Drosophila melanogaster: one gene and its partner. The gene in region 1 interacts genetically with each later gene. Each region holds a gene or a part of one and is shown in the gene's direction. Other genes may lie near its edges. The genes, in order: Sur and pnt.

Region 1 (4,881 bases):
ATTTCCGATTGCTAATTACTAGGTAAGTTGGTTAAACATGTTAATAGTGTATTTAAGCCGCCCTTAGTTCATGAATTCATTGTGCGAGCTGTCTTCATGGGCTGTGTTAAGTAATACTACTTATTTTATAATCTTTTATATATATGTGGAGATGAGTCGTATCTTACATTTACTTCATTTCACTTAATTTACCTAATTAATTTTGAATACCGTATACTTTTTAGATCACTATCAATCACCAACAGCGCTATAAAATTGGAACCTTGCCTTATTGACGACACTGACCTACCATATCTAGTTAAAAAAAAAGATTAAAAACAAACAAAATAACCACATATACAAATAAACCGAAATGAACTCCACTCAAAGCCCGGTTTATCGCACCTCCGTGGAGCAAAAGCGGCATGCTCAAGAAGTGGCCAAAAGACAGCGGATGGGCAACCAAATGCCAAGACTTCGCGAAATGCTGCGAGAGGTAAAGACATCAGTGTACCCCTTAAAGTACCAATATACTTACACATAAATACCCTGTAGAAATACCGCAAGCGCATCATAGAAACGCGCAATAGATGCACGGATGCCCAACGAGAAATCCAATTGGTAGGACATACAAATCTCCATAGTAAGCCCATCATAAACCACCCATTTTTTCAGTCCGAACTCAGGGAAATCCTGCGCCTGGAACTCAGTGAGCTAGAGAAGGATGTGGAGCTTGAGGAGCTGATTCTGGAGGAGCTACTATCCGATGTCAACGAGTGGTATGCCCTGGGCGAAAAGAATCTGGAAACGCTATACGCAGAGCCCGATGAGCAGCAAAAGGAGGTTTTATGCCCAGTTTGTCAGATTAAAAACCTACGCCATCACAAAGGTGCCTTCATCTGCGAGTGTGGCATCCGCTTCGAGCACTCTGCGAACATGGAACAGCTGCAGATACTGCTGCAACAACAAATCGCCAGCCATGAACTTCAGTGCACTCAGGCCCTGCGATTTTTCATCGAACCCGCTTCGGGACAACTATACGACATGTGCGGCAGCTGCGACTACTTCTCCTCCGTCTAGGTCGTTTATGGAGCTGGTTTCTACCGCTGACTGCTGATAGCTAGTTTAAAGGAGTTTATTAGTTATAATAAGATAAGTTACATAAGTTAAACTTCAGACAGTCTTATCAGTTTGGAAAACCAGAGATCTGCACAGAAGATTTTTTAGATCCGAAGGCTTTATATGCGTATTAAATTTTTGAAACAGTGATACATGATATTCCCCCCCTAATTAATCTAAATCCAAAGAATGATATGAGTTATGGCTAGAAATGAGATCTTTAAGCATATTGTTATAATTGCACAACAAATTAAAATTAAAATCTTAGGAATAACAGATTTATAAAATGTATTCTAGGCTCTTACAAAATTCAAACTAAACCATTCTTCTAATGTGGCATTCTAGATTAAGAAAATAAATCAGGTGCGAGACTAAGTTTGATTTATGAATATAAAACGTTTTTCTCTGCTTATTGTAAAGTTTAACAAACTATTTATTAATTGCTTATAACTTCTGGTTCGCTTCGAGTTGATTTAGTGCATCATATATGGGTCGATGGTATCAGTGGGCTGGCACCCCACGATTCCGGCGATGTGGGAAGAGCTTTTTCCCATCGCGCACGTGCGCGATCCCCCAGATTCAGATTCAGATTCAGATCAGTGCAATATCTTCTCGAGTTCGGGCTGACTGGCACTTCGTCGTTTTTCCTGCTGGCGAGAATGTATGTGCTCAGTGTGGTTAGTGAGCCGCCACGCTCGGTCGGAGTCGGTTGGCCTTTTCTTCTCGCGAAGATTTCTTAATCGCGGCCGAACGTGCGCCACACATATCTCTGCGTTGTGTGTTGTTTATACAAAAATTACTTAAAAAGAATAATAATAATAATTGAATGGCAACCGGGGACGCGGCGCGCTCTTCTCGCTTTGGAACGAAATCCATTGTGGTACCATCCATATGTACATACATATATATATATGTACATATATCGAATTGGATCGGGCATAACACACATTGCACTGCATATTCCCGATTGCGAAATAGTTTGTTTATATTGAGCGATTCTGTATTTGCTGCTCAACCTGTTGGGCGCAAAGTTTTCAAAGTGCTGCCTATGGACTCGATTTAATAGTGAGCGAAATACAAATGATTTTAAATTGAAATCGGAAAAGTGAAAACTTCTTGCAGTGTTCAATAAGCGTTTTGGCCATAAGTTCATGGTTTTATTGGCCATCATGAAGCAGTTGTTCAATATAATACACTGTGATCACTTGAATGGGCATGTTCGCTCCATTTATGACAATTTGAATACAGATATCTGTGGCATTGACCGTGTGCGGCGTGTTTTTACGTTTTTCAGCATTTTTCTGCTACTTTTCGGATTGATGTTTGTTTGCAGTAGATACAAAAAGTGAGTTTTATTCATTTGCGGGATTTAAATATATGATATGTGTATATTTGCAACTTGGGCGGCCAGAGTTGAATTGACACACTTTCAAGTTTAAACTAAAATAATAGTGAATTTCGCTCTGTTTTTTTATTTGTTTATTTTCGACCCAAGTGTAAACATGTACTTCTTTTGTTTACAGCAGAGCAAGCGATTTTTTGCTTGAAATTGTGCAAAGCTCTTAAACGAAAATAAGGTCACATGTAATGGATTTCAAATGATTATCATCAGAAGTTTGATGTCCAGTTTACTCCTTGCTCAATTAGGTCCAAAATAAGAGTGTAAATAAATTCAACAAATGTATACGTATATTTTTGAGAAGCAAATGAGCACATTTGTTTAAATTTAGCACATGCGTTTTGTAGATTAAACGAATTCTGGAGAAATGACTAGGGAGCTCAAGTTTGTTACCTCATTTAGAAATCACACAGACAGCATTTTATGGCCCAAGATAACATAAAACATATTTTAAGTGCTTAATTTTTATTCTTTTGCACGCACTTTAAGTCATTTGCATACACAATCGACTGTTGCTAATTGTTTGTTTAAACAAAAAGTAAACGTGAAAATTTTATGACCAAAAAGGAAGTATTGTTACTTGTTCTCGGAAATTTCTAAAGGTCAAAAGATCGGTATTTCCTTACAGGAAAAACTATTTATACATATAGAATTAGAATAAAATATATTATCTCCCCCTTATTTTGTTCCGGAAACTCACTCAAAATCCCATAATTGATATCCGTACTTCAAGTGCATTGAAAATCGAATGCAACCCGCAGCGAAATTAAAAAACAATCAACTTGGCATTCCAAATTCGAAAAAAAAAATAACGCATCGCGTGCCAAAGTATTCTCAATGGGATGTATCTCAAATGGGTAAATCTCAATTGGTTCTGCAACGCACTTTGCTTTAAGGGCGGATTCTTATAAATAAATATGCGGATGAACACGAAATCAATATCATTTATTGAATTTATTTACACTGCAGTTAATTATAGAAATTTAGCTGCATGATTTTTATGATTTATTATGCTGAAGTGGTTCCATATGAGATCTTTGTAAGAAATGATCTGGAGGGATTTCCATATAAAATTATGTGATATATGATCATAGATGATATCCATATCTATATAAACCTCTTAACTTTTAAACTAGATGCCATAAAACATTGCTTACGTTCCACAATGGACGTGCTGCGATCTCCCTACTCCTTTTGGCCCTGAATAGCTTTGATTTGGCCAGAATCTTTTTGCCCCATCAAAATGTTCGGAATCTGAACAGACTTTTCCAGTCGAGTCCCAGGGATCTCAACTATTTGGTTGTCATTGGATCGGGTGAGCTGTGGAATGCGCTCTTCTCCACTTTGCTGACCCTCATGCTAATGCTCTACCATCGAATGGTGGAGCGCAAAAAGGCGACAGGTGAGTTTTTGGCCAATAGAGAAGTTCCCTCATCTAGTTTTATGCCAATTTCAGTGTTTTTGTATGCCAGCACTGCGGTGGAGGCGTTGACATTTGCCCTGCTCTCCAATGAACTTTTCGAGCTGGTTCGCTACGAGGATTTCCTGGAGCTGCAGACGTGCCTGGTGGCCATGTCTGCCATGTGCATGGTGTCCCTGGCAATGCTGGACGGATTAACTGTGTACAAAGAAGTGAGCATTTATTGAAAAATATCTTCAATCTATGGCTTTAAAGCTTACTAGGAGATTTTGTAGTATTTAAAGAATAAAAATGGATTAATGGATATTAAATTTAAATATTATTTACCTGAAATCCAACCATTTAAAAACAATATTTATAAGGAGTTATCAATGTAGATTGTTCTAAAACTTAATAGTATTACTCAAGTTAAAATTTTCAAATTCCTTCTTACCAAGCGAATGGAAACTACTCCATTGTTTTATTTAAATAATGTGTTTATTTCAATGGCCAAAACGTATTTATTTAAATGCTGCGCTAATAAATGCAAGTTGGCGCAACAGAGGAAGCCAAAAATCGCTATGCGAGTTGTTGCATGTTTAAATTTTAATTGGGGTTAAGTGGTGATTTTCAGCTTAATGTCTTTCATACTTGGCGAAAATGTTTATGATGTTTATTCTATATATTTTCTTTTTTTTTGCCATCCAGTTTGTGGCTTTGCAACATGATGAGTCCCGTGCTAACAGGCAAAGTAGGAAATGAAGGCTCAAGTTGAATATTTAAATACACAAAAAAGTGTGGATGAGCGGAAATATTTAGCTGTGTGTGTGCTTTTCGAATTAACAATTGTCGCAGGACTCTCGTGATTTATAGAATTAACTGAATTAACAACAAATTTCCAACCCACAGTGCTATCACGACGACTATTTGGATGACTATGGCAAAATAGGCTACAAACACTCCATGGCCACATTTTATTCGAAAT
Region 2 (4,873 bases), on another chromosome or scaffold:
GTTGGCCTGTTGGCCATGTGTTTTCCAACTGCTGAAATGTGAAGTTTTTTCTACTAGTTCTCCGCTGCAATGGCATCATGCAGTCACGCACACAGGCGCATTCATTCATAAAAATCCGGCTCACCTACACGAGTTGTAAGATTCCAGCGCAGTGGAGAGAGGGAGAGAGAGTGGGAGAGCGGCGCGCATGCGCTCTTTGAGTTCTTTTTTTTCGCTTGCTGCACTTGTCGCCCCCTTTTATGTTTTTCAGTTTTACCTCTGCGGCAGCAATTAAGTTGCAGCAGAGGTTGACAATCAGCCATATTTTTATTGCACGTGTTTCGTTATGCAAGGCTGGTTAAGTTTTTTTTTTTTATGTGTACATATACGCTCCCTTGGCCGGGAAAATCGGGAACGCCATCAAGTTTTGTTATCCCGAATCTTATTGCCCTTTTTCTGGGTGCAGCTGGCCATTTGACTGCCGCCCCTGCACTTGCATTCACTTATGCTGTGTAATTTGTAATTTATGCGAAATGCGTTGCCGGAATATAAAAACATTGCAGTCGTTTCAGTTCCATATCGCCGCTCTCTGTCGCACACACTCTCCGCACACATAAACCTGTTTGTGTTTTTGATTTGCGCGAAAGAGAGAGAGAGAGAGAGCCTTTCGAACGCACAGTGGTTGTCATGGTCACGGTGGGAAAATATCGCGCTTAACTTTTTTTGGGGTGTCCAAAAGTATTTTCCCAAGCTGCAGCTTTCCCACATTGTGTGCAAACTTTAATAATGATAATAATAAGTTGATAATTTAATCTCACATCAAAATTTTCATATAGGTATTATTTCATATTAAATAAATATTTTATTAATTATTATAACAAAGAAACTAGTATAATTTTCCTTTTAAATAAGCTGGAACTGATATTTTGACCAATTTACTTTATTTGTCAAAAATATAGATTTGTATAAAATCCAGAATCAAAATAAATAAATTTTTATATCAGTGTACACAATTGAAAGACTGAGACTGCCAAATTTTAAAATATTTGTCTTTATTATTCCGCCCCCTTTGCATACTAAATATTTTAAATATACTAGTGATTTTGGGCACTGTTTAAATGCTTGCCAAAAACGATCGCCCGCACACACACACACACACACATACACGCACCCACACACTCTCTCGCATATTCGCACTTACACTGAGTTCTGAGCAAGCAGATTTTTTTTATAAATTGTTGCTATTTTTTTGTCGCTGCAAACACTTTGTTTTTGCTGCTCGAAATATGTAATTCTGATTTCCATTTTTTTCTTGCGCTCATGATGCACGCTCTAGTGCGAGTGCGAAAGAGATAGCGAGATTGAGGATCACCCACGCCTTTTCGTTTTCATTCCAGCGATCAAGTAAAATAGCGAATAATGTTTATAAGTCAGATTGATATAACTCTCGATTTTCATATTATTTGCCATTTTTGTTATCACTTGCCAGAGCAACACAAAAAAATATTAATCTTAGCAGCGGAGAGAAAGAGAGAGAGAAACGGAGAGAGAAGGTGCGTCGGCGTTGGCGTCAACGCTGCGTCTGCGCCAACGTCGGCGTCGCTGCCGCCTGTTGCCAGTCGGTCAGTCTGTTTTTGTCTTTCTTTCGGGAAGCGTGCACTTGCGCTACGGTAAATTCGATTTGAATGAATTATACGAATCAAATAACAAATAAATAACAAATGCAAAACACTTTGCAAGCCAAGCAAAAACCCAGTGTGTAAGTGAATGAGTGCAATAGCAAAACATCTAAAGATCTGCGCGCGCAATATACATCAAAAAAAGGAAGGCAAACAGCAACAGAAAAAAAAACGCGGTTCAGAAACACAGGAAACCAATTTCTATATACGAAATTCATCATAAAACCACAAAAATCTCCTCAAACATCGCGTGAGAGTGCCTGAGTGTGAGTGTGCGCGCGCGTGTGTGTGTTTGCCAGCGATCCGTCGGCCTTTTTTCGGTTTGTTTCTTTTCGCGTCTTATAAGCCGAGCTAAACCGATCCCCGATTTCTTCTCGAGTTGTTCCTTTCGGTTTTTCGTTTGTCTTTGTGCCCGGCACGTAATCCCTCTCTCTCTCCCCCTAATCAACCTGCTGATCCCACCGGAGGGTTAAAACATACACATCTATACAGCGTGATAGAGAGAGAGAACGAGCAAGAGATAGTCATCGGTGCTGCGGAGTCCATCAAGATTGTGCGCCTAATTTGAAGCTGTAATTAATTTGGATACCCTAATAAAAAGCCAACCGAAAGACGGTCTTTAGAATCCAGAACCCACAAACCAAAAATCAAGAGCCCAGTAGCCCCCGCCTTCTTGTTCACGAAGGGGCGCTATTTTATTACCCCGCACCGGTAAGAAAAGTGAAGTGTTGAAAAACAGTAGTTCAAGTATTAGTTTTTGTTATTTTCCCTACACTCGAAACAAAAATCCAGCGAAAATTAAAAGACAAAACAATTGAAAACAAATAATAAACCATATATCTCTTAATTGCTGTTGATATATAGTTTTGAAATATAACTTTTAAATCATATTTATCTTAAAAATATGAAATTTAGAGAGTTTCTTTTGAGTGCATGTAAACCCTTTTTGTGTTGGTGTTGCCTGTTTTCTTGAATGAATCTAGGAGAAAACTGGTTTGGCTACCGCTCGGTAGATCCGCCGATCTCGCGATCTCGCCTCGATTCAGGATTGCTGCCTCTATAAACTCGTTGTTGGCCAGGCCAACAGAATTTGAATTGGTTTTCTACTCGGCATCATAGCCAAGCTAGTTAGCCGCCAGTGTGCGTGAGTGTGTGTGTGTGGGGCACTTCCACAACCCTTGTGGGAAACACGCTCGAAATTACTACTGTTCCTTTTACAGCTTCCGGTGCGGCAAATGAGCTTCGCCTGCCCCACGATCGCGTTTCGGGCCATCAATCCAAGGGGTTTGGTAATCGAGAATGTGTGAACGGTTTTTGGTTAGGGTCAAGAATCTAGCACAGCGATCGCATTAGACAATTAAGTATCAATAAAACTGATACCGGAGTGCTACTCTTTTGACCTTTCGGTTTTAAAGTATGTATAATTGGGGCTTTCCTGTTCTGCACTTTGGGTTACCTGAAAGGGTTTTTAAAAGGATCTTACAATTTGGGATGTAAATTAAAGTAATTATTAATACAAAAAAGATCAAAGGATAGTTAAAGGCTTAACCGATATCATATTTTATAAAAATGTTACCATTAAAATGATTAATTTTACAATAAGATTTTGCTTAGATCAATTGTTATTATTTCTATGATAAAACTTGATTTACGTCCTTATCGCAGTCTTAAAGCCAAAAAACGATAATTTAAGGAGTTACGATCATTGAACTACTCTAAAGACATGTTTAATATCCCTTGGGCTATTTAAAAAAAACCAATTTGCGAGCAAAATACACAAGGGAATGATAAGAAATTATTGCCATAATCGATAATTTGATGTGTGACGATCGTCGGATCATAATTGAGCCCAGCTACCGCCAACCGCTCCTCTCCCTTTCCCTCCTCGAGCGTCTGGTCCGAAATGAAAGACCAGTTCAAGATCCTTTTCCATAAATACCCACAGACAATTACAGTTCAGTGGATGTTCGACGGGCTGGTTCGTTGCCCCATGCCACGTTAAACTCGGATTCTGTGCCCGGACCGATGCTAAAAGTATCAACCTGCTGCAGACAGGCCGAGATCAAGATCGATCCCATGACAAGACAAGACGACACACTCGCACAGATATGCCACACACACAGATACTCCGCACACATAGATATTCCGCACACACATGCAGTTCGGACTGTTCTGCGACAGATAGAACAACACATGTGTACACAGGCAGGCATCCCGAGGATCATCAGCGGATCGGAGATCCCTTCTTTACATTCAGCGCGAGGAAAAAAGGGCCAGGCGCTGGGAAAGAAAAGAGCAGCGACTAAATGTGTATTCTACCGTTACGTACACATCGAAAAATTGCACCCCTATTTGTTGCCGCTGCTGGTGTTTTAGTTGTTGCTGTCGTTGTCGTCTGGCCGAGGAGTGCGCACCATATCAAAAGATCATATTCGTTTACAATCTGTTCTTTAAGCATCTGCTGCGCCCAGACTCTCCTCCAGACATCAAAAACTCGGACTGCCAGACATCTTCCACTCGTTTGGTCCACTTACTATGGGCCAACCCAAAAAATTTTGCTCTTTTCCAGGGAAAACATATGCTCCGATTTTCGTTTCAATTCGATTCGTGTGGTTTTTTGTTGTCGCCCTCGCTCTCCCTCATACATACGTATATATAATATTTTATTTTATTTTATTTTTTTTTTTCGGTTCGGTTATCTACGTGTCGGGGCGATAAGGTTTTTTGTTCAGATAGTTTTAGCGATTGCGACTCGTTTTTGGCACCCTGCCGAATGATTTTTGGTGCTCGAAATGCTGCGATTTGAAGGCGGTTTTTGAAAAATGTGCCACTTTCAAACTTACGCATTTGTTCCTCGATTTTCCCTCTGGACTTATCTGCATTTGAGGAATTTATTTTCATATGAATGATTGATTGGTTTCAAAAAAAAAACTGTGGAATTCGCGAATCGATAAGGACAATTGTCAAGTCACTTTTAATTAATTGACTAAATAAACCCAAATTAATCTCTGCCACTTGGAGGCACAAGTGTTATTCGCACTGGCTTATTTACTTAGTTAATCTACGTAGTATGTGCTTTTACGATTATTGTAATTGCTGCGACGATCGCTTATTTTCCTTGTCTTCGGAAAATAAACTAATTTCATTCACAATTATGTTAGCTAACTTTTTATTGCCAACATTTTTCGAGTGACTCTAGGAACTGAAATATTCGC

The links.
Region 2: of Sur (region 1) and pnt, changing one enhances a phenotype caused by changing the other (phenotypic enhancement), as found in Drosophila melanogaster (one study listed by BioGRID).

Annotation. Positions count from the first base shown.
Region 1 is NT_033779.5:10,196,010-10,200,890, reverse strand, and holds the start of Sur (sulfonylurea receptor), read left to right. Parts: upstream 1-1,773; 5' UTR 1,774-2,267; coding exon 2,268-2,443; intron 2,444-3,633; coding exon 3,634-3,899; intron 3,900-3,953; coding exon 3,954-4,129; intron 4,130-4,805; coding exon 4,806-4,881. Other genes in the region: Ripalpha (RPA-interacting protein alpha), read left to right, coding at 353-475, 535-600, 655-1,059.
Region 2 is NT_033777.3:23,342,894-23,347,766, reverse strand, and holds the start of pnt (pointed), read left to right. Parts: upstream 1-1,599; 5' UTR 1,600-2,369; intron 2,370-4,873.